Linked DNA regions of Coturnix japonica. The protein of the gene in region 4 purifies or fractionates together with the protein of the main gene of each other region. This does not show direct contact. Links are inferred from orthologs where the notes say so. Each region holds a gene or a part of one and is shown on either strand. Other genes may lie near its edges.

Region 1 (5,866 bases), on a different chromosome or scaffold from region 4:
CAATCTTTAAGTATAGAATGTATCCCCAAACAGCTCCAAATCCTACCCAGATTCCTGAATTGAGCACAAAGGCACTTTTAATTCAGTCACCAGTTCAATTCTTCCCTAAATGTGTTCATTGCTAGCAACTGTCACATCAATCATCATCACAGTAGGAAACTCATTTAACACAGGGTACAAGTCAGTCTCCAATGCCAAAAATTGATCACACAGACCCAAATCCCCACTCAGTGCCTTGAGGGTTCATTCAAGACAGCTGAAATAAACTGCAAGAGCAACACACGCAAACAAACATACAAATCAAACTGCTCTTGCTTTGCTACATCGGTTCTGGAACTTACTTCTCTAGGAACAAATGTGGCACCATCACAAAATCCATTCAGAAAGGACAAGCAACAACAAGATAGTATAGCAGGCCACCTACTTCTGTCTCTTTGCCATCTGTGCTCTAACATGAGCTTCGACTTTTGTTGGGTCCTGAACCGCTTCTGTCCCCAATACTCGCATCAAGTTTGAAATTCTTACTGCAAGGAAAATGTGAGAAGAACTGTCAGATCTCACAGATACACCCAGCACGTTCATATGCTTATATGGGCTCCTGCTGCAATTCCCAACCACATTCCCAGTTTGACAGCTAACAGCCTGCATCAGCCCAGCTCTCTGCATTCTGTAGCTGTTACTTACCTTTGGGCTCTGGAGGTGGCATCAGGCCCAGCCTGACTTTCTCCTGTAGCTCCTTCTGGGCTTCTCTCCGAGTCTGTCGCCGTAACTTCTTCTGCTCTTTCTTAGTTAAATAAACACCCAAGGTCACTGGTGTGTCACTGTCCACTGCAAAGAGAAACAAGGCCAAGATAAAAACAAATGTTATGCCAACCTTTTGAAAACCAGACAGAAACTCTCCCCTCTCAGTTCTGGATGTTTTTGCAGAACTTTCATATTTACTTTCATATGATTCCTTAACTTTACACAAGGATAAGAGACACAACAGTCAGTTGCCTGAGGCAAGCATGCTGGTTCACCCTGCCTAGTGTCAGCCTTATGGAGTATTTTATATCTAGTCAACCAGATTGGGCATAGTCTGAGACCAGAGTGCTACAGGGCAGTACCTGGTGGGTTAAGCTGTGCTGGGTGCTCCACGAGGTTTGTGATTCCAAAGTATTCATCTTTCTTTGAAGATGTTCCGCCTTTTCTAGAAAGGAGAGAGTTGGGCATCATTGCAAACCTCCCAGCCTGGATTCCTGCATTCCCTTAAACACAAGCCATGGAAAAAAAATAACACTTCCCTTGGACAAATCACGGCAGATATTTGACATGCACAAACCTCTACCCAAAGCATCAAACAGAGGCATGCAGCATAGATATGACCCCTGGTGGAATACCCACACACATTTCAGTTAAGAGACAGGCTTGCCACAGCTCAAATGTGAATGAGACTTGTGAGTAACCTGTAGCTGTGCTTGAGAAAGCACACAACCAACCTCGGGCCAAACAATCACCCTGACTGCAAGGCAGTCACCTGCTCAGTCCCTGGAGGAATGCTGCCTTCGAAGAAGGGCAGCTGCCTACCAACACCCCTGAAGAGACCTGGGAGCAAACCCAGTGCCTGCCTGTATCTCAGGGACTGTGGCAGAATTCAATAGCACATGGAGATGTGTCCAGCCTAAAGTGCACCAGAAAGCCCCATATTATCCCCAAGAAACTCCCAGAGTTCCCTCCTGCAGAACAGTCCAAGCTTGGTACATAAAACACTTACAGATCAAGGCCGTTAGGGATGATGTATGAGTCCCACCACTCTATCTCTGGGATCTCCCCTTCCTTCAGCTCCTTTTTAGGGGTAATAAGAGCCAACTTGGTAGAAGTGTGTATTCCTGTCTTTCTGGCAGCCTGAGAGATCTCCGCCTGCAGCTTTTCTAGTTGAGCCTGAGAACAAAGAGAGGAAAGTGGCACATAAAAGTCATTCCCAAATAGCACAGCTTCAGGAAAAGCGTAGCATGTTTGCATCTTCCAATATGTAAATGTATATGCTTAAATCTGAAGCAAACCACAGAGAAAACCTCACAAATCAAGATGATGAAGTGCTTTTACTAATAAACTTGCTAAAAATTGGGTGTTATTACTGAGCCTTCTTGGAGCACAGAATGAAACCCAAATAATGTCTCTCTGGGCATCACATCCCTGGGATTTTCTGCATAATGAAGCTCTTCTCTCCCATTTTCCCCACATATTTGGGCAGTTTACCAAGATTTTTTTCAATCTACACCCCTAATGCGACCACTTCTGTAGAAGGATGACTTGGCCAGAGAACTATCAATTCTCTTTGGTATTTTCCAAATCCTTTGCCAAATCAGAACAACAAACCACCAGATTTTGTCTTTTATCAAGTGAGGAAGCGCCTTCCACAAATCTATTCTCATTTGGAAATCTGCCTTTTCAATAAAGAACAACGTTAACAAAAAAAGCAACGTGTGACTTTACCAAAAAAGCTTCTTATCAAGTGAACACAGCTCCCTTCACATCCCAGGAAAGGAGAATCAACTCCTATCCTGTACCAAACCCTCATTTCTGTGCTGTCAGTTAGCATGGCAAGACCTCAAATACCTTCGTTCGCAACCTCTGGGCAATTTTCTCAAATTTGCCTTTTTCATGGAACTTAAAGGTGCGTTTCTGACGCTGGGCTGGGGTTATGGAGACCCGGGGGTCAAAGTAAGTGTTGGATTCCATATCTTCCGAGGGCTTTTCTTTAAGCTGCTGTTTGAACTGCTCTCTCTTCACAGCTCTGATGTTTGCTTTTAGGGTTGGCATGCGGTGAGTCAATTCAATCTCTTTACCAGTCGCATCAACAGTTCGGCCTTGTTCATCCAAGATCAGTGGCGTAGGCTTTGTCTGATCCTTCAATTCTACCTTCCTGGTGGCAAAACAAAGACATTACAGTGTGATTTTAGCATTAATTCAGAGGGACTGAGAACCATATTCCCATAGCAAGCACCAGACCTCTTAACTCATGAAAATGTTGTAAATGGCTTCTTTGCACTGTTCAGTTCTCATCTACAAGGCCAGAAAGGACTCAAATCTCACGTACAGAGAAGTTGAGTGTTACTCAGGGCAGGAGTAACCTCCATTTCACTTCTGTAACATATCCATTCCCTCAGCAGCCACTAAAGAGCTGCTAGAAATGATGGTGCATAGGGGAAACCCTTTGGCTACACCTTCTATTAACACTCTGGAGCTTCCATTGTCAGGATTAGCATTCAGAAAAACAGCAGCTACTCACGGCGGTGCGATCCCCATGGCGTGCAAATTGGCCAGCCCCACCATGTTGGCATTGCCAATAAGCCCTGGTTTCAAGGCCAACTGAGCCTGAATTCGGGCCTGCAGCTCGGCAGCTTTCCTGGCCTTCTCAATGGCATCATTCATGAAGGTTGCTGCCTGGGAGGGCTGGATCGTGTTGCCGATGGGGAGACGTTCCGATTGGGATGAAGAAGAAATTTTTGGCTGTTGATAGAGAAATGACTTTTTGTTACACAGCTGTTCTAACAGACTCAGGTCAACACATCATAGCCGTGTGCTACACAGCATCCAGCAGCTACCTGTGGTGTTGGAGGACTGATGAAGCTCAGCTGCTTTTTCCTCTCTTCGATCTGCCGGGTGGCTGCTTCCATCATCTGTTTGATCTGTGGAAACAAAATTGGATGGTGAATTTTTCTCCACTTTATTGGAAAGAGGGAAAAGGTCACCAGCGCCCTTTTACAGCTGCAAATGAGCTCAAGGCAGCTTAATGAGAATAGAATTGTATCAAGCTGCTTTAACTGATGACTGCTGGCTGTAGGAAGGGAATCTAACAGTGCAGGTACTAAGACTTTCTCCTCTTGGTTACTGCAGGTTATAAGTGAACATCCAAACTTTCCCCACTTAAAGACTCCATGTTGTCATTAGCCCAGTGCATAAGAGGCAGTGAGCTTTGTGAAAAGAAGATGGGCAGCAACTGCAGCAAACAAAGGATGGCCAAAAGCAGCTTGCCATTTGCTTTCACAGCTTGTGAATCAGGATAAAACAAACATTTAACTGTATCAGGATTCGAGATCTCAGAGGTAGACAGCACTGTTCTGGAGACAGAGCTGATGTAACACAGCCCTGTCAGACTGACCTGCAGCTTGGTCAGCATTCCTGGGCTTTCTGATGGCGGGCCTGGAATAACTTCAGGCTCATCCTCAACCTCCTCAAATCGTGGTATGCGCCGTTTCTTGACACCGGAAGATTCTTTGGATACCTCAGAGTCATCACCAAAAACATCCTGAGGTAAAAGGAGAGAGAAACAAAAGTGATTAAAAGCTAAGAATTTCCATCATCAACACTGTTTTGGGACAAGAAACCACCATGAGAATCAAATCCAGCACTGAAAGGTCAGCAGTGCAGTGTCTGAGTTTCCAGGGTGGCACTCACAGGTTGCCCTAACTGGTAGTCCCACATGAAGTCTGTGCCCTGGTTCCCCACAAAAGAAGCATCAATGATGATCCATCCAGCAGTTTAAAGAACAGGAGACACTCCAGGGATACACCTGTGTAAAAGCCACCATTGCTTTCTTATGTGGTCATGGGATATTAGGAATTGAGGAGATGTAAGATCTCACTCAGCTACTCAGAGAGGTGGAGAAAGCCTGTACACCTTAGCGTGACCAGGTCTTAAGGGTACTTGTATTTTCAGTCAACTTCAGAGGGGGTGAAAACAAAAGCTGCTCCCATCCTACTGTGTTCTGACCAAAGGGAGAACACAGTCCCAAACCCTGGAGGCAGGGAGATACCCACAGCATCTCCTTACAGCCTGATCCAGTAGGATCCAGCTCTGAGCCAGAGCTAAGTTGCTTTTAAGAAGCACAGCTCAGAGAGCAAGTGGAGGACTGATCTCACTGATGGACTTAATGCATTAAGTGTCCATCTCCCAAAAAGAAAAGTGTGCTTCACACAGAGTTCCGTGCCATTCAAGCACTCCCCAGCTTGTGTTGTTGGTGGTTATGGATTTCATTTAGTCAGTGCCAGTTTTGTGTATGGTGAACTGGATTTGTCCATGCAATTGTGTTCCTGCATTGTGTGTGAGAGCGTTATTGGAAATGAAAATATACAAACCGGTTGTAAGCGTTAGTTGAAATCCCTTCTTCACTATAATGGTTCATATTCTACAAGGACACATCCTCATCCAGAGACAGGTACTTCTTGGAAAACCTACAAGTTCAAGAGAAAGGACTTGCCCATAGTATAAAGTGTGTAAACCATTACGTTTTAGTTCCTGAAACTTCCCAAGCAATGACCTACCCCACAAGAGTTAACCAGAGAGAGAAGAAAGGCTGGGTGGAATGCTGAAGACATCTAATATGACTAGAAAGTACCATCCTGAATTATTTCACTTCCTGATGCTATAGAGCTAAGTGTGTAAGTATAAATTCAACTCTGAGACATGAAGTGGTGGTGGGAAAATTCATTCTATGCAGGATCAGGATCTGACAGCCTCAATTAACCATTTCACTCTACAAAAGGGTGAGGACAGATCTTGACAAAGGATCTCCAAGATGTAATTCCAGAGACAGGAGCTGATGAGAAAGGCAGGTTGGATGCCTGTCTCCATACCAGGAGCCAAGAGATGAGGATAGGTCTGCTCTGCTGCATCCCAGGCCTGCTTTGGGTCAGTTTAGAAGCCAAGAACACCATCAACTATCTGTGGTCATGTAGGATACCCAAGCAGGTGTTTCACTGGAGAAAAGTCACCAACCCCACACCCAGCCACATCCCTGCCTCAATGTGCAGTGTGAGACAGCTTGCCAGGCTGCAACAGGATGCTGCTCCCTCCCCTCCCCCTGTTCTGCAGTGCACTGGCC
Region 2 (5,866 bases), on a different chromosome or scaffold from region 4:
AGATTGGATCTGGAGTATTAGAAACATGAATCCAGTGCCACCCCAAAGCTATGCTGATAGCAAGTACATTCACAAACAAAACCCTCCCCCCTAATTCATCAAAACAGCTGCAGAGTTCCACTTCTACGGCTAGCTAAAAATATTCCTATTAAAATAGAAAAAGATTTCTCTACAAAATTTTCGGGGATAGTCATGACATTTCTTCTAAATCTCTCTGCAGACAACTAAGTAAGGTGACACAACAGTTTACCTAAGACTTTCAGTTCCAAAATTCCACCAGATCTTCATTTACCTTAAAAAAAAAAAGTCCAACATTGCCACCATGTGGTCAGAAACGGGCATCGTTCATCGTAGAAGTCGCGTGTGACAGGGGAGGAAAGGCACCCAGCCAACGAATAACCACGCTGTCAGGAAAAAACGAAACTGAGTTCTGAGAAGGGTGACTTAATGCAGGAAAACCAATTCTAAGTATGGGCCAGTCTAAGACAAATATTGTGTGGTTAAGTTTTCAGCACTGTGACGCTCCCCTCCCTGAAGGCACAATCCATTTCCACCCACTTGTTTCTAAGTACAACATGGACTTGCTAAGGAGCAAAATCTGTGTGTATGCAAAATGCCCAAGACCATTTATTTCTTTAAATGGGACATTACTTGAAAATTTGGAAGCCTTTTTCCTGGGATTCAGAAAGTAACAGAAATTAAAAAGCAACCATCTTTCACATGGATTTCTTCATTGCTGCCTTTCTCACACTGAAGAGATACGCTTCATAAATAATGTTTAAGAAGTTGTCGTCGTTCTGAAAAACAAAACACAATCGTTACTACCAAGGAGACATTACTGAGTAAACAGATAAGGTTTTACTTCCATTTCACAGACAAAATACTTTTCAACCTTGCTCTATCTTAGAAGCACACAACAGAAGGGGTATTTCCTTTTCAGGCATACATTCTATGGCTTGGATGTAATATATAACTGGATGGGAAGCACGACTCTATAAGCAGTAATGAATAGATAGAAAGTAAGCTTTCCAAACTCACACTGATTTATCTTGAGTATGCTGTTCTTGCATGATACTGTAGAGAGTACAGGCTCGGAGCAACCTGATCTAACTAACCTGATCTAATGCCCCTGTTCATTGCAAGGGTGTTGCACAATATGACCTTTAAGGGCCCCTACCAACTCTGAGGATTCTATGATTCTATGACATAATCCTGTAATTGCTTTTCTTTGCCCCCATTTACCAAACAGTTTCCTTAAGTTTCTTCCATTAGTTCATTGATTATTGTGTCTCTGAAGGAACAGTGGAACACTTTGGGTTTTGCTCCTATACTAAATCCCACCTGGGCAAACACTTTCATCCTGTTTATCACAGGATGACTTGGGTTTGAAGTAACTTAAAGTTCATCCAGTTCCAACTCCCTGCCATGGGCAGAGCTGCCACCCATCCAACCTTGCCTTGAGCGCCTCCAAGGATGGAGCACCCACATCTTCTCTGGGCAGCCTGTACCAGGGCTCACCACTCTCTGAGTAACAAATTACTTCTTAACATCTCACTCTCTTTTAGTTTCCCCTCTTTTAGTTTAAAGCCATTGCCCCTTTGTCCGACCAATATTAGACTGTTTAATTATTTTAGTCTTAATGCTTCCACCACGCTCTGCTCCTTTTGTTCTGATGCACGTTTAACTTTTCTCTTTAGAAGACCGTTTTTTGCAAGAGCTGGCAATTTCACACTAAGAAAAGATGTCTTAAGTAGCTTACATAAACATATGAAGATAATTAAAATCAGGATAGTCCTTGAGGAAAACCAGGAGCAACTGAGATTGTAGTGTTATATAACAGAAAATGATAGCTAAGGAACTAGCAATCAGCATCCCGTTATTAAACAGTAAATAATTTCCAGGTAACACAGTTAATCCCAGCTGTCATCAAGAACAGCGCAACCGAACATGCATTTTACAGATACAGTTTCAGTGCACAGAATCTTGTTTTCTCCTTTTTAATTTCATACATGGCTTTCCTATTATCCAGATATTCCATGTACGTAAGACAGAATATTACAGTATTTTTCTTTTTAGACCCAACATAAAAATAAGGAGGGAAATGAGATGAACATCTAATGCCTTAAAGACACTATTTTATTTATAGATCTATAATTTAAACTTCATTTTATGTGACTCACTTCAGCATTCCAATAAAGGCATATTCTATTGCCAAGCCACATAGGCATAGTTTGGCCTACAAACTGGACACTTCAACCCGTGCCTCCATTCATTACACACTATAGCCAGTTCTTTAATTCTACAGTCTCTACTCTTCAGGTATTAATTTCACAGTAAGTTACTGAAAAAAAAAATCATAATTCACATAATCACAGAGCAGTAAACAGTCATCTCCTACATGCTGTTAATGCTTTGTCAGATTTAAACTTGAATAATTCTAGCAAGAGGAAATTCAGCATTTCAAGTAGAGAATTATATAGAATAGATTGAACTAGCACGCTTTTAGGTTACCTAACCCATATTTTAAAGTTGCTCACACTTCCCATCTGAATTCTTCTTGCTCTTTGAAGTATTTGTCTGCTAAGATAAACACCCCTTACTTTGCTAAAAATACAACAGGTATCTTTCCACCTCTTGGGACAGCCTTTTGAAGCTTTCGGTCATTTTTATTATTTTCCTTCAATTGTATCATCTTTCCTTAACCTCAAACTACATTGATTAATCAGAGTGCATTTAAGCTAACAGTAAGCAAGAAGATGCTATCACCTTCCTACTCTGTGGAATAGTACTCAATTAACACAGCCATAAAAAGCTTCCAGCACATACTTAATTATCCATCTAGGCACATATACAAAACTCATTAGATGCCCAGGTGCTTAGGTGACCAGGTGCTCATATCGAAATGGTAATAAAGGTTTAAATTGAAGTAGAAAAACTTGTGGCACTTTACCTGGATCAAGTGTAGAAGTGTTTCCTGCAGCTGCATCTTTGTCACTGAGCTGCTGTTGATCACAGGTGGCTCTGGGGTTTGCAGTGGTAGGAGAAGGTTAGCAGAGCTAGCAGCAGGTTCTTGGTTTGATGCTGCTAACCGCCCACCTTCGTTGGCTTTTGGTGCAGCAGGTGTGGGCTGAGTGAACACCATTGGGGACATCAATAAGGTAGGAGTCACAGTAGCAGGAATGCGCTGAGGTGAGATTACCTGTCCACATAAAAAATATCAATTAAATAACCTGTTCAATCAATTCTATAGGAATTAAGATGATTAAAGATGCAGACTGATTTGCAACAAGTACAGAAATTGTGGGAGATCGGTCCAGTTCCATGAACCTCCGGTTCAGGACTCCTGTATGATTCAGTTCCAGGTTAAAAGGTCCTCCATCCAAACTGAGAACACAGTCATGGGTTCAAATGCGATACAGCCTACCTGTCAGGCAAACACTATTATTAAATAATGAGTACTTTTAGCTGTAAAGTTTTCCATCAGGCCAGTAAGCCCTGAAGTTTGATAATATTCTTTCTTACTTGCAAATACCAAAAGTAAAGCTCAGTCTTGGTATCTAATAATAGAAAATATTTGCCAATTACTACTTTCAAACTGCTGTCTTTATGTATATATGCATACATGTACACATGCATGCACACACACGTATAATGTAATTCTCTTTATATGTAAGGAGAAGTAAAACAAAACAGATATTAAATTATGTATTTGAAGACCTACAGTGAACTGATGGCACCATTAGAAATAGAACTGACTCCTAACCGATTCTCAGCTTATAAAATCAAAATGGCCCTCAAAGAGAAGGAAAACCCAGACACTGCTGGAGTTCTGCAAGTTCCCTCTCTGTCATATCCATACCAACATGCAAATATCGGTGTCAAAGAATTTTTACATTTAAAATTTGTGATAAATCTCAGAAATCTAAAACCTGCAGAACTAGTCAGTACTAGCAAATGTTTTATTCACTAAATTTGTAGATACTGAAACTTTCTGAAGGTAATCCTAGTAATATGCTTAGAAACCAGTGCTTATTGGGGCCCGGAGTTCGAATCCCCCCTGTGGCGCAAGTGGTAGAAGTGCCGCTCTGCTACACAGAGGCTCGAATCCCGGGGGCCGGACTCGATGATCTCTAAAGTCCCTTCCAACCCGCACGAAATTATGAAACTATGAAACTATGAAACTATGAAACTATGAAAACCATCAGAAGTCCATAGGGACGTACCAATGTAGATTCAGACCTTCAGCGTGTGCACACATTCTCCTGAAGATATGCCAGTAGAAGACTGGCTGCCCCCAGATGCTCATGACAACATCTCTGACCTACTCATCCATGTAGCTTGAATAGCTACTCTTAATCTCAAGTAAAACTGGTGGGTTACCTTAAATCAGATGATTTTTCCTAATGAACAATTTAAAGAATGCATATAAAAACTGCTCTGCAGGGTAGGAGCCTCCAGCAAAGGAGTGGTGGGGAGCAGCTGGAGGAGGTAAATCGTCTCACTAAGACAGAGAAACCTAAGACTGACGATGTCAAAGATTTAAACGATAAGTCCTCTGAAATCAAAACACTCCTCTCTAGAGTCTGAGACAAACGTAACCTAACACAAATTATGCAACAAATAGTTACTACTGTCAAACATACATGTGTTTTGTTTTAACAGACATATCAAAAACTGTTTTTTATTTCTGGATAAAAACAGCTTCTTCGTAGTTTTCCAATCATATGGATGGTATATGGAATAAGCAATATTGCCATCTACTGGTGACTGAGCTAATACCGACAGGTTACTGCAGTATTTCAAGTGTTTGCCTCAGCAGAAAATACACGTATCTTTTATTTTCAGCCCATACTAACTGCTTTTGTGTGCAAACATTACAGTGTATTTTCTTCTGCCAAGAGATCATGCTCAAAGCTTCTGCCATTTAAGAAACCTACATGTAAACCAGATGGTTGCCTTTTAAACCATAAAGTCAATTTTTCAGTTTAGATTCAGATCACCTCCAGCCACCTGACAATTGATGTCCATCAGCAAATGTAGGGCACCAGATTAGCGTTGCTAGTGTGATTCCTATAGAGCAAAGCTTTTGCTGAGAGCACTGGAAACGCTCTGTAGGGACACAGAGCCTTCAAACCAGTCTTTTAGCCTTGAGTAATTTTGTACAAGGCATAACAGCCTTTCCAATACACTACTGATCCCCTTCTTTCTCATGAAACCTAACACAAGCTGCTCATGCATCCAGCCTTCCCTGAATTAGCTCCAGCTTTTTCAGGTCAACACTTAAATCTCTGAGTCACTAATAACAGAGTGGGAGTCTACTGCCAGTTGTGCAGCAATAAAGTAAGAACAATGAAAAATGTGCAAGATAGTCACTGCAGCATGTATTATTCCTCCTCTGAAGCACAAATGCTCACTAGGATATGTCTGATATTCTGCATGGCTGTTAGCAGCTAGATGACATTACAAGTAGCAAATTCACATAACACCACGCACTAAGAAACGCATGGCTCTCCTGTAATGGATACTGGGACCTGGCCCTGCTTCCCCTTTCTGCATGTGCAGAATTCCACTTGCATCAAGCACTCCTCTGGAATATCAGCACCCAAGGGATGCCACAGGCTGGTTATAGGGGCGTTATTTAGAGCTGAGAACAGTTCATCTAGGAATGGCTCCTGAAACTGCAGTTATGCTATAGGCATCTTTGACAATACCATCATACCGCTAGCTATTATGTACCATATACACCTTCAGAAGATGTAACACAGTAGGTAGATGACATTTTTGATGGAAAACACTCCAAGAAATCAAGCGAGCAGTATACAATATAAGCGGACTTCTGAAGAGATCAACTTGTGTCAAGGTTATT
Region 3 (5,866 bases), on a different chromosome or scaffold from region 4:
ATATTGGGAAACAATAAAATTGCAATATGTTGTTAGGTTGCCAGTGACCATGTACCAAACAGAAAGAAAACAAGGACAGGGCACGGAGAGTCTGAACCAGCATCTGTACTTCAACCAAACCCCTGTAGACTATCAAAAAATAAAGTACAGCCAAATGAGCAAGGTAATTCTTCATTTTAGTACCTTATCCTCATGGTTTATGCTACAGATGAATAGAATTCTTTATATCCTGCCTTTTCCCACATTGATCATTTTTCTGCTTCATATTTAGTCATTTTCTGTTCTGTGCTTCTCAAGATTTTCAGTTATAATCTTCTGTATCTCATTAGGCTTTACTTTAGTAATATCTTTCCCATATTCTTTTGTCACTGTATAATGAATATATCATTGACATTCAGCTGTAAACTCAACAAATAATGAATAATATTATATCTCATTTATTTAGCATGTTTGTCTGCACAGTGCCTTACTGCAGCACATGAATTACAGCTAGCTTAAACTCAGGCTTCCTGAAATCCTATTTCACTGTCTTATTTATTTATGTTAATTTTTGTTTTAAAAAAAAAAAAAGAGAGAGAGAGAGAGAGAGAAACAACAAACCCTGAAATGTTTTCTCTGAAGATTCAGAGTTTGGTTCTGATTTGTCTTTTCTTGTCATATTCAGACCTGAAAGAAAAACCTTTAGAAAACCTTCAGTGGAGCATAGACCCAGGAGCTGACCTTGCACAGTACAAAATGGATGTAACTGTGATTGATACAAAGGTGAGCCATCGCTTTGCAACAGGTTGGCATGTTCCATAATGTTGGACAAAAAGACTTTAGAAGTAATATCATGACCTTCATTCCAGGCAGATAAAACCTACTTGCTAACTAAAATCAATTTGGGACACATGATGCTTTTTCATGCTCCTATATAATGTTTGTTTATTCAGTTATCCTGTAGCATTTCAACTGTCTTGTTGTATTTGATAGACTTTGCCATGTGGTGGGTATTCAGGGTGAAACAGATGGACTTGATGGTATCTTAGAATTTTGTTGAACAGAAAAATGTTTTAAATCTCATGATTTTTCCAGTATGTCTGGAATAGACTACCCAGGGACACTGTGGATGCCCCATCCCTGGAGGTGTGGTGTTCAAGGCCAGGTTGGACGGGGCCCTGGGCAACCTGATCTAGTAAACATGGAAGTTTGGTGGCCCTGCCAGGCAGGGGGGTTGGAGCTTCATGATCCTTGAGGTCCCTTCCAACCTGGGTCATTGTGTGATTCTGTGATTTTTTTTCCCTGTGAAAACATTCATGAAGACATCTCTCTTTGTTAAGTAATAGAAGTTGTGCAGTTCATGACAATTGTCCTTATATTTGTGTACAGGTTGCCTATTAGAAATAGCAGGATGGCTGAGAATCCTCCTTTCTTTCTGAGAATTTGTTGGCTTTCTCTCAAATGAGATCTATCCTAATGTGTTTTTCTCTGTAGAATTTTAACATGAAAACTTAAAGCAGTTTCTTCTTGTCTAGCAAGTAATGTAATTTGCCAGACAAACGTCACTGTTCCTGGAAACTCTTTGGACAAAAATAGTTTTAGATGTATAGTAGTACTGTTGATTACAACAATTGCTTCTGGGTGTAATTGTCCTTTCTTTTTATTCAGGATGATTCTCAGTCAAGAATCGGAGGAGAAGTTGTTGATATGGATTATACATATGTTAGTGAAAGTGTGCTACTGAAAATGAAAAATCAAGAGCAAACACAGGAAAGCAGTCCAAGTAAGACTTTAATTTTTCCCCTCTTTGTTTTGATTTATTTATTTATTTATTGGGGGGGGGGAGGGGAAAAGAAAGGATGTTTTTTCCCCATATGTGATTAGACAATACAAACTGGCTTGCAGCAAAAAGCACACTTATTTTTTGCAGTTACAAAGATCAACCTGTCTCCTACTACAGTGGATAATGGTTGTTTCTTTGTTCAAACTTACATTCTCTAAACAAGGTTTGTTGTAAGACAAAGCCAAAACCATGCTTTTACCATGCTTAAACAGTTTTTTTCCCCTATGTTCTAGCCTGGAATGAGCATGCTTACCACTAAGTGCTTTGAAAGGCTGATAGATAATCATATCAGACTTCCTATGGAAAGTTATTTCTCATTTTTAATAGCATGCAATTAGAACTAGTATAGTTAAAATAAACTCAGATGTGTTTATATTGCATCTAACATATGATATATGGTGAATCACAGTTGCAGGGCCATGTCTTCTAACAGTGATTGTGTTCTGGTTTTTTCTTTGAGGGTGGTGCTTGTCATTCTTTGTTTTTTGGTCTCTTGTTTTTTGCTTGTTAGGGGTTGTTTGCTGTCGTTGCTTTGTTTCTGTTTCAAGATTTTGCATTATGTATTATTATTGAGTTAATCAGTACTGGAGCTGGAAGAAGATGCCAGTTCTTTATATACATTCAGTCAAAGCATCCCTTCTTTACTTAAATTGTTGGGACTGATTTGGAATGTTCGTTGCTCACGTGTTTTGTTGTGTTTTTTTTTTTTTTTCCCCACAATAGGAAGAGAAAAAAAAATGAATGATACCATAACAGAAATGTTTGATCGGACAGCTGATGAAGAATATGAATCATGCCTACCAGAAGATAGTCTTTCTGCATGTGATGAAAAAGAAACCGTGCATGGTGAAGAACTGGACAGAGGAATAACAGTAGCAAACAAGAAACTGAAGAGTGAGACATATGTTTATCTTTTATCTCTTCTTTATTAGTCTGGTCAGACTGCAAAAGTTGTAGTCAGGGTCTGTTCTATAGGAACGGATACGTCAAATCATAGAATCATAGAATTACCCAGGTTGGAAAAGACCTTGAAGATCAAGTCCAACCGCAGCCTAACCAGTACCCTAACTCTAAAAACCCTACACTAAATCATATCCCTGAGCACCACATCCAAACGGCTCTTAAACACAACCAGGGATGGCTGTGTTTAAATAAACTGTGAGTTCATTGTTCATAAGTTCATGGGATGATTCACTCATTGTAGTACATTAATATAACAGATACAAAAATTGTTCTGTTGATTCATCTATATTACACACATACAAATATGGGAGCTGCAATGGAAGTTGACATAGAAGCTGTACAACAGAATTACACCTAAGGAAAACACCAGTTTTTGGCTGTAGGTTAGGACTGTGATTTACTTGCTTTCTGTGTTCCCCACCTATATTGAGATTTCTCAGTATTTTGTATTTTAAGCAGCCTTTCCACTCCTATTCTGCTCATCTTATCTCACTGCTCTTTTTCTTCTTCCCCCCTAATGCTTTGCAATCATTGACCAACTAATTCTATATTATTTTTACTTTCTATTTGTATCTCCTACCTCAGAGCAGCATGAACATGGCTTTTGTTGTACTTAATGTCTCTAAAATGATTAGTAGGCTGTTTCAGCAGGCAGTCTTTTAACCTTATGTGACATGTGGCTTTTTGTTCTGTGTGTTTACAGAGCATGAGGATAAACAAGATAAAGCCAAACAGAAAGCTTTTGTGGAGCCATATTTCAAAAGCGATGAAAGGTAATTTGCCTAATATAAATAATAATAAAAGTAGTTTGTTTAACATGGGTATTCTAAGGGTATTTACTTTTTAAAGAGAACTTGTTCTGCCAGAGAACAAACCAGTTCATATGCAACTTATTAGCAGCTGAAGATGCGCAGGTAAAAAGATACTGTGAATTAGATAAAAGCTGAAGTAGAGGGGAAAAAAGACACACGTTAAGGAATATCAATTATATCTGTTGCAAAGGAAGGAATGATATTTCTGCTCTTTATAATCCCATTGAACGAAGTATTTTGTAATCCCTGTGGTTTCTTGTGGGCGTGTAGCCATGTGTGTGTTTATCATCAAAGAGCTGATGGGTCGCTTGTATAAATAAGAAAAAAGTTGTTATCTCTGGGCTTTTTTTTTCCTTCCTCTAGGCAATAAATGAGGGATGCAAAATAACTGTGTCTTGGGGCTTCCTTTGTTGCCTTTCTGCCTAATCATCATTGATAGTCTGGGTCTTCATAATGATACCAAGCCCTTCACTTTAATAATTACTGTCTTTTTATTTTAACATTGGCCTGTTTTCTTCACAGATAAAGAATTTGTTTGGTGTTTTGTGGTTTCAAGAGAGAGCATCTTATTTGAAAACAATCTTAGTTCAGTGTTTGAATATCTGCAGGAGGAATGTCCTGCTGTGATCAGTGCAGGATCTTCTGAGTCCCAAAATGTGTTCTTCAGAACTCACATTTTTGAGTAATTCAGATCAAGCCACTTTTATATGATGAAAAGCCATAAACACTTGCCATGCATATGTGTGGGTTTTTTTAAAGGATTTTATTGTATTTTTAAAACTCTGGAACTATTTTAATTACTAAAGTAATCATATTAAAGTATGAAATGTAGTATGTTTGGGTTTTGTGGATGCTGTGACTTTTTTAAGCTAACCATTATTTTATCCTAAAAGAAAAAAGTAAAAAAAGGGAAATTCTCAGACATGTAGAGGAAATAAATGCTTTATCATATGACAACATTTTTGTTTTTCAGGAAGAATACTATGTTAGATTTTCCTCATATTGAGGTGATTCGAAACAAAGAGGAAAGAAGAAAATTGCAAGGGCATACTTGTAAGGAATGTGAAATTGTAAGTAGTGTTGGTAGTTTTGGTCTTCTATGTGAAGGTATATGCAAACATACACAAAAAATTATATTACCAGGAGAATAGTATGGGGTTTTTCGTCTCTCCTTTACAAGTTTTTTCCTTTAAAATTACTGAACTGCTTACATATCATTTGAAGAAAGATACAATATTGACATAATTACATGCATAGAAAGGACATATTTAATTTGATTCTGAGAAGGCTGAGTTAGTTAGGGAATAATTTCATAAGTTAACATGCCAGAAGTGCTGATTAATGGCTGAATAATGATGGATTCTCTTAGGAGTCTTTTGGAACCAGTGCTGTTCATAGATCCTGCTGCTGGTCATTCTATAGCTAAGTTACATTTACTTAGCTGAAGAGATTTATTGGACTACGTTTTGGTCAAAAACATGTTCCTGAAAAATATCCTTGGTAAAACTCATTAAATTAGAATAATTTTTACAGTCAACAATAAATACCATTTTCAAAAATGTGCTTAATTCAGATAGTTTGAAAGAAAATGGGATATTGAAGGGAAGAAAAACCAAAACCTTTAGTCTATTTCTTGTCCCAGGAGCCACATGCTAGCTTTCAATTTCCTGCATCTGTAAGCTACAGATCAGTCAATCCAGTTCTTGTTACTTCCTGATAACTTAATTAGAGTGGTAATTCTGGAAACATTAATAGCCAGGATTTTTACAGTATTGGGTTTCTACATTCAGCCTTTAAAAAGGTTATATATATATATATTTATTTTTATTATTATTTTAAAGTCTAGGCCATTCAAGATGAATATCTTAGAATGTGAGGAATGCTTGGCAATAACACTGTAACATGCATGATAAAGCTACCTTTCAATGAAATGCCTGTGGGGAAAAAAAGGGAGTATTAGACAAAGCATAAGTAGTACTTTAAGAAGTCATGGCTTATTAGCCAGAAGGTTTTGAAAAGTTTCCTAAGTCTGAGGAAATGCTTAGGGAGTGGGTTGAAATCAGTAAATAGTTTCTAGCTAAGTGCTGGAAGCAATATTAGAGGGGTTGCCTGTTCAGTATGAGCTGATGTGAGAGATCTGACTTCTGCATGTGCTCTGGCAAACTGGTATTTGGGTCCTTTATGTCCTGGTCATAAGACTATTTCAAAGATCTCACAGTGTAAAATACAGTAAGATGTCTTCTGTTATGACGACTTCTCAGTGAGATCA
Region 4 (5,866 bases):
GCTCTTCACTGCCCTCTGAGCAAAGAATTTCTCATATCTAACCTAAGTCTCCCCTCTATTAGTTCAAAGCAATTCCCCTTTGACCTAATGCTAACAGAGGCCGAGTATAAACTGCCCACAAGAGTCTCAAGTGCACCACCAGATGAAACAGTGCAAGTAAGAGAAACTTTGGTGCTTAGCAAGGAAACCAAAGTAAAATGGCAGAGGTGGCACAACAGATGTACAAAGATCTGAACTGAGAGACTCCAGAAAGGGTGCACGAGCCTCACTGATACACGCAGGGCCCATCAGCAGCACCACAGGGCTGACAGGAAGCCCCTGGACCAATGCACAGAATCCTACCCACCGCACTCCTCCATGGGCCCCACCACACTCAGCTGTAACCTCCGATTCAGGCTGTACTACCCCAACCCCAGCTACAGACCTCAGCCCACATCCCACAGCCCCAGCTCAGCCCTGACCCCTGCCTCAAGCCACACAGCTCAGACAGACTTTAGAAAGAACTTTATCAAAGCTCCAATATATATTATTTTTGGCCTCTAAATATCCGAGAGTCAGCACCTATTCCTGGCTCTCCGGTGCTGCTCTGTAACCCCAAGCACCGAATCTTTCAGTGCTAGATATTCTGCTCAACTCCTACAGAAGAAAGAAAAAACTTCAGATGCCTCAGAGATGGCTTTAGGAGGGACCTCTAACACGGCGGCCGAGTGCTGGAGGCGGTGCTTTAGTTGGTATCCATGCCGTCACACTCTTCTTGGGGAGGAGATGGGGCAACATGTTCCTCGTTTCGGCGCTGATAAAACAGCACATAGGCAGCTTTTGTCTACCAAACAAAAAGCAAAAGAATTGGAAAGACTGAAACAATCCATGTGGCTTGGCTAGAAACACAGTGCTCAAGGAAAGGGACCACACTTGCAGCATGAGCTCGGATTAGCTTCAGGCCAAGTACTCACCACTATTTGGTCTTCTGAAGCCAACGACACGCTGCTGTCATCAAAGTAGTACCACTTGCCATTCACCTTGTTCTTTGCATAGGCAGTGTCTGTTGGAAGAAGAAACTTCAGGTTCAGGGAAGCACTGCACCAGTGACATTCAAAACTCAAACCAACTGTGCAAGGCTGTCCAAGAGCTGCTTTCTACAGTTCCATGTTTGACACTGTACTAGAAAGCCTTGGTGAGGACCGCTGTAAATCACAGTGCACAGAGCCCCCCTCCAGTCCCTCCTTTGTACGTCCCTTGCATGAAAGAACAGGAAAACAATCACTCACAGTGGCCTACTCCCATGGCTCCATAGTGATTGGAAACTGCAATGAGGTCGTAGACATATGAGCTTCCTCTTGGGTCACAGACAAACTCAGACATGTTTAAACCCCTGGAAGAAAATCCAGAAATATCAGTATGCCAGCAATCTCTGCTTCCACATCAGTGAAGCTCTGTCAGCAGACAGCACTAGTGAAGCTAAGTGTTATGCTCTGATGCTCAACAGCTTGAAGTTTTCAGTGCCGAGACCCAAACATTAGCCCTGCCACACAGAGCAGGTCGTGGTAAACTCATGGGGTGCTGCAAAGTGATTGAGGGAGGGACCAAATGAATAACAGCTCTGAGCATCAGGTCTTCATATGAAAACTAGCTCAAAGGAAGGATCTTACCTGATAGGGAATTCAACAACAGTGTCAAGTTTATCCCTCCAGTATCTGCTGTATGAGAAGCGTTTTAGATGCACTACCAAAATCTTGGGCAGTGACCACAAGTCAAACTTCTTTGTGGCCTGCTGATGCTTCTTACAGTTAGGGCAATACCTGAGGAAAAAAAGTAAAAATAAGAAACCTGAAAGATGTCAGAGGATACATCAATCGTGTGGTTCAGTCCCTGCCTCACAGAAGACCATTTTGGCTTACGGAACATCCAGTTCCTTGGAGGTTTCCAAACTACCTCTTACTTTCACTCTGCTGCTAAAACATCCTACTGGATGAAAAGGGATCTCAGTAAAACTAAGAGTGCTTCAGGACTGGTACAAGCTGCAAATAAAATAGTGCAGAACCAAGCACTATAAAGTAGCCAGCTGCTCTCACTGCTATCACAAATGCTTCCTCTGATGCTGTCTGAAAGTCAGACGTATGGTGGGGGATCAAAAATAGATCAATCTCTACATACACAGTGCCTTTTTTAAATGCAGGCAGGAAACAAGGAAAAAATACACCCCTTATTAGCCCATGCCTGCAGCCTACTCAGTCAATGACTGACCATAAAACAGACACATCCCACAGACTAAAAGACAAACATGGGAAATGATCAGAATCCTGGGACAAATCATCTGATCTCAAGCAGTTACAGATTTTTATAATAAATAAAAAGGGAGAAAGAAGCTCTTACCAAGGGTCGTGTTCACCCAGAGTTTCCATTGTAGTAAAGAGCTCTATGCAGTCTTTAAGGGCTACCACTGCCTTCATCTTCTGTGGTTGTAACACACTTGCATGCTTTTCAAATGCCTAGTGAAAGAGATGCAAGTTTTATTCAATTCACATAGACTTTAATCCCTGCCACTGTGAAAATGAACGTGCCCAAGTTCACACTGCTGGAACAACCAAAACATGCTAAATCATTGTGGCACATGCTAAATGTATTGAAGTGATTGACAGAAACCAGAATGATACTGGGGCAAAGAAGCTACCAACTCCCAGAGGAGCAATCATGGTTGACACTGACCTTCAAGTGAGCTAGCTCTCATCTCCAAGCCACTCAATTGCTTAAGTGTGGTCTCTTAGTAAGGAGAAGGTTCTGTGTGTGTGGTTTTCTGCTTATTAATTTGAGTAGATTATGAACTAGACAACTTAGAAATTAAAGTTTCTACCTTTAGGAACACTGGTAGCAGACGAACAGTAACAGATCTGCAGGTCTTATCTTGACCAACTCACCCCATGTTGTTGACTGCAGCCTCTGGGCAGAGGGCCACACAATTTCAGCTGTTTATTACTGTGATCTATTGAAGTATCATGCTGTGTACTATGGCATGCACTAAGTTTACACATAAAACACTTATGAAAAGAGCATACTACAACCTGTGCCTCCTGTTCATCAAAGAGCAGCCTCCGTGTTTCAGAATCCCAGTCAATAGCAAGCGTAGAAAAAGCTAGAAGAAACAAGAAAAAACTTTTGCTGCCCATTTGTTGGAGGAAGGAGGAAGAAGAGGAAGGATAACAGGACAATAGTTACCATTCAATTTCAAGAGTTTTCCTTCTACAATAGAGTTTATCTCAGAGGTCCCGTATAAATTCACAAGGCTGAAAGTGAAATACTGCTTCTTACAAGGCTGCAGGCCTCTCGTTGGCTCAACCTGCATGCAGCCCTCAGAGGGGCAGGAATCAACTTCTGCCAGCTTCTCCCTGCCTTCCTGGCCATCATCCTGATGCTCCATCTCTTCAATGTCACCTGGCAAAATGTAAAACAAGCCCAATATTGAAGCCCGTCAGTGAAAAGTTCAGACTGAAGCTGTATTTTATCCCTTACCAAGGCCAGGAAAAACATCAGGGTTCACATCCTATTGTCAGGCATGATGAAATACACTCAATCAACATAGGTTAACACATCACACCATCTGACAGCACACTCTAAGAAACATCCCAAAAGGCTGCATTTGGTCGTTTTCATAGTAAGGCAGCCCTCTGCCACAGTGCTATATCATCATTATGTAGAGCTAAAAATAACTGCAGGAGCTCAAGCCAATTACACACAGCACAAACAACATGATAACAAGAGCTTCAAGACCAAAATGCTTCCAAGTAATTCTGAAAAGACTTTACCTTCAGCCACACTGCTGGAGCCATTGCATGCTCCTCTGTCTGGACAAGGTGCGGAGTATACTTCTGCCACAGGGAGTTTCACATAGCGACTTAACAGAGGGAACATTTTAATTCCACAATTGTAACAAAACAGTACATCACAACAACTGCACCCTCCCCGTCAATCCCCTTGGTGAGCCACAATTTATTATGCACAGCATCAAAAGCTCTCAAACAAAACCAACTCGGAAAGTCTACGTTCTCACTGCTTGTACCGAGTTTAACAGGTGTTAGATGGGAAATACAAAAACAAGTTATGGTGACCCACATGAGAGCCCTCACATTTCCCACGCAGTGCTTCTGATCTGTTTTGCAGCACCAAGCATGTAACTTCCCATGGGACCACCATCTGTATTATGTAATGGGAAGCTTTTACAGAGCCCAGACAACCAGGACCTCAGGACATCCCTGTGGCCTCCAGGCAGTAGCACAATGCAAACACTGGTTGGTACCCCAGAGACAAATCCAGGAAAGATCTTCCTATCAAAAAGGATGCAGTGATCCTGGCATAGTCTAATTCAGTGAGCTAACACTAGAATTTTGCACTAAGGTACAGATGTGACTTACCTGATCCGCTCCAAAACGACACCGTACAAGTGATCCACAGTGAGCTTGTGTTTTGGCACAGATACCAGCAGTGGTTGACCAAAGAGCACAGTCCCTGAAGTGCTGCTGGATTGCCTCGCTGCCTTTTCCCGAAAGTAAACAGACAAAGTAATGTACTCTGAGCCATCTTCACTTGGCTTGCAGACTTCATATCTGTTCAAAAGACAGGCATGTCCACAGGTTATTTCTACTGCCAAGAAGCACAGCAGGCAGAACCAATATCAAGTCAGTCCAACAACTCTGTCTGCCAGGATCACTTGAGGACAATAAGGGTTGTACTCCGTGTACACTTGACTGCACTAAATGAACTTTTAGATCACCAAAACAAGGTTTGTTCTGTCTGAAGAAAGAAACCTTCTCAGTTCCTTAGGTCTTACATTCCCCCCGAGCCTCCTGCTCCATTTCAGGTCTGAGCTTAAATCACCAACCAGACAAGGCTTCAGAAAACCAAGAGTATGGAAACATCTGCTTTACAGAAAAATCCAGGAGAAAACATTCTGGAAGAGAAGCAGCTCCAGAGAGCAGAGAGAACACTGAGATGCAATTTGTGCTGCTGCGTGCAACAGAAAAACCAGGTATTCGCAAATAGAAGAGTCAAAAGGAACCACATGGTGCAATTGTACTGCGTTTCTCACTCCCTATGTGAGTTTCAAGACTATTCAGCATAAAGGACTTATCCCATGATTTCCACCTCACAGTGCTCTTCAGCCTGGTGAGCTGCCTGCTCCAGACTCATCTTAAAACTGAAAAAAGAAAGGTTTCATGAAAGCTGTCACTACACATAACTGAGATGACAGTCACACATCTGGACATACTGTCACAGGTTAACCATGACACATACCCACAGCTCTTGCACATTAGAGATGCCAGTTCCTTTCTTGCAAGAGCCAAGAAACAGGTTTCTGTTTCTATGTTCAGCACACCCTTGCAGAGCATGGAGTGGAACAAATTTCAGAGTTGCAGTTCTGCTCTGTCCCACTTAAACAAAAGCCCAGCTCCCAGCTCAAGGCCACGAAGAAAAATACCCCTCCAAGAACAGAAGAGACAAGAAGTGGATCTAACAGCTTGATAAGAATGGCTGTTGTGTTTTCTATGCCATCAGCACTGTCCAGTTAGACAACAGCACTATAAAGAGAACTACTGCACTTAGTACTGTAACACTCAGTCACAGAAGTATCACTTACAGTTAATTCCACGTTCCAGGAGACCCTCTGGGCTGGTCTCCCACAAAGCAGACCAGCACACAACATGCCCAAGGTGCCTACATTCCTCAGCATTCCAATGACTGATTCCAGTTCTCACTGGTGGTGGTGTGAGAGACACCACCTCCAATGCTGATCAGAGGAGCCCCCAGCAATACTCCATCCTCACACAGGTCCTGAATGAAGCCCTGCCTCTGTGATGGCACAGATAGGATTGAA

The links.
Region 1: the proteins of USP4 (region 4) and PRPF3 purify together in Homo sapiens (co-immunoprecipitation; 4 studies listed by BioGRID and IntAct, with this or other methods). This does not show direct contact. The link is inferred for Coturnix japonica from reciprocal best matches to the Homo sapiens genes USP4 and PRPF3.
Region 2: the proteins of USP4 (region 4) and DCP1B purify together in Homo sapiens (co-immunoprecipitation; 3 studies listed by BioGRID and IntAct, with this or other methods). This does not show direct contact. The link is inferred for Coturnix japonica from reciprocal best matches to the Homo sapiens genes USP4 and DCP1B.
Region 3: the proteins of USP4 (region 4) and RBBP8 purify together in Homo sapiens (affinity purification with western blotting; 3 studies listed by BioGRID, with this or other methods). This does not show direct contact. The link is inferred for Coturnix japonica from reciprocal best matches to the Homo sapiens genes USP4 and RBBP8.

Annotation. Positions count from the first base shown.
Region 1 is NC_029540.1:1,885,172-1,891,037, forward strand, and holds part of PRPF3 (U4/U6 small nuclear ribonucleoprotein Prp3), read right to left. Parts: intron 5,217-5,866; exon of another isoform or gene 5,121-5,216; intron 4,292-5,120; coding exon 4,145-4,291; intron 3,672-4,144; coding exon 3,588-3,671; intron 3,493-3,587; coding exon 3,272-3,492; intron 2,906-3,271; coding exon 2,599-2,905; intron 1,921-2,598; coding exon 1,754-1,920; intron 1,190-1,753; coding exon 1,107-1,189; intron 829-1,106; coding exon 685-828; intron 525-684; coding exon 425-524; intron 1-424. UniProt on the Homo sapiens protein: Plays a role in pre-mRNA splicing as component of the U4/U6-U5 tri-snRNP complex that is involved in spliceosome assembly, and as component of the precatalytic spliceosome (spliceosome B complex).
Region 2 is NC_029516.1:51,562,058-51,567,923, reverse strand, and holds part of DCP1B (mRNA-decapping enzyme 1B), read right to left. Parts: intron 3,200-5,866; coding exon 2,951-3,199; intron 798-2,950; coding exon 717-797; 3' UTR 1-716. UniProt on the Homo sapiens protein: May play a role in the degradation of mRNAs, both in normal mRNA turnover and in nonsense-mediated mRNA decay. May remove the 7-methyl guanine cap structure from mRNA molecules, yielding a 5'-phosphorylated mRNA fragment and 7m-GDP.
Region 3 is NC_029517.1:92,793,260-92,799,125, forward strand, and holds part of RBBP8 (DNA endonuclease RBBP8), read left to right. Parts: intron 1-36; coding exon 37-163; intron 164-664; coding exon 665-762; intron 763-1,647; coding exon 1,648-1,762; intron 1,763-2,545; coding exon 2,546-2,716; intron 2,717-3,488; coding exon 3,489-3,558; intron 3,559-4,570; coding exon 4,571-4,667; intron 4,668-5,866. UniProt on the Homo sapiens protein: Endonuclease that cooperates with the MRE11-RAD50-NBN (MRN) complex in DNA-end resection, the first step of double-strand break (DSB) repair through the homologous recombination (HR) pathway.
Region 4 is NC_029527.1:1,667,465-1,673,330, forward strand, and holds part of USP4 (ubiquitin carboxyl-terminal hydrolase 4), read right to left. Parts: intron 4,599-5,866; coding exon 4,407-4,598; intron 3,890-4,406; coding exon 3,801-3,889; intron 3,430-3,800; coding exon 3,214-3,429; intron 3,131-3,213; coding exon 3,060-3,130; intron 2,490-3,059; coding exon 2,374-2,489; intron 1,800-2,373; coding exon 1,650-1,799; intron 1,373-1,649; coding exon 1,269-1,372; intron 1,043-1,268; coding exon 954-1,042; intron 824-953; coding exon 725-823; 3' UTR 1-724.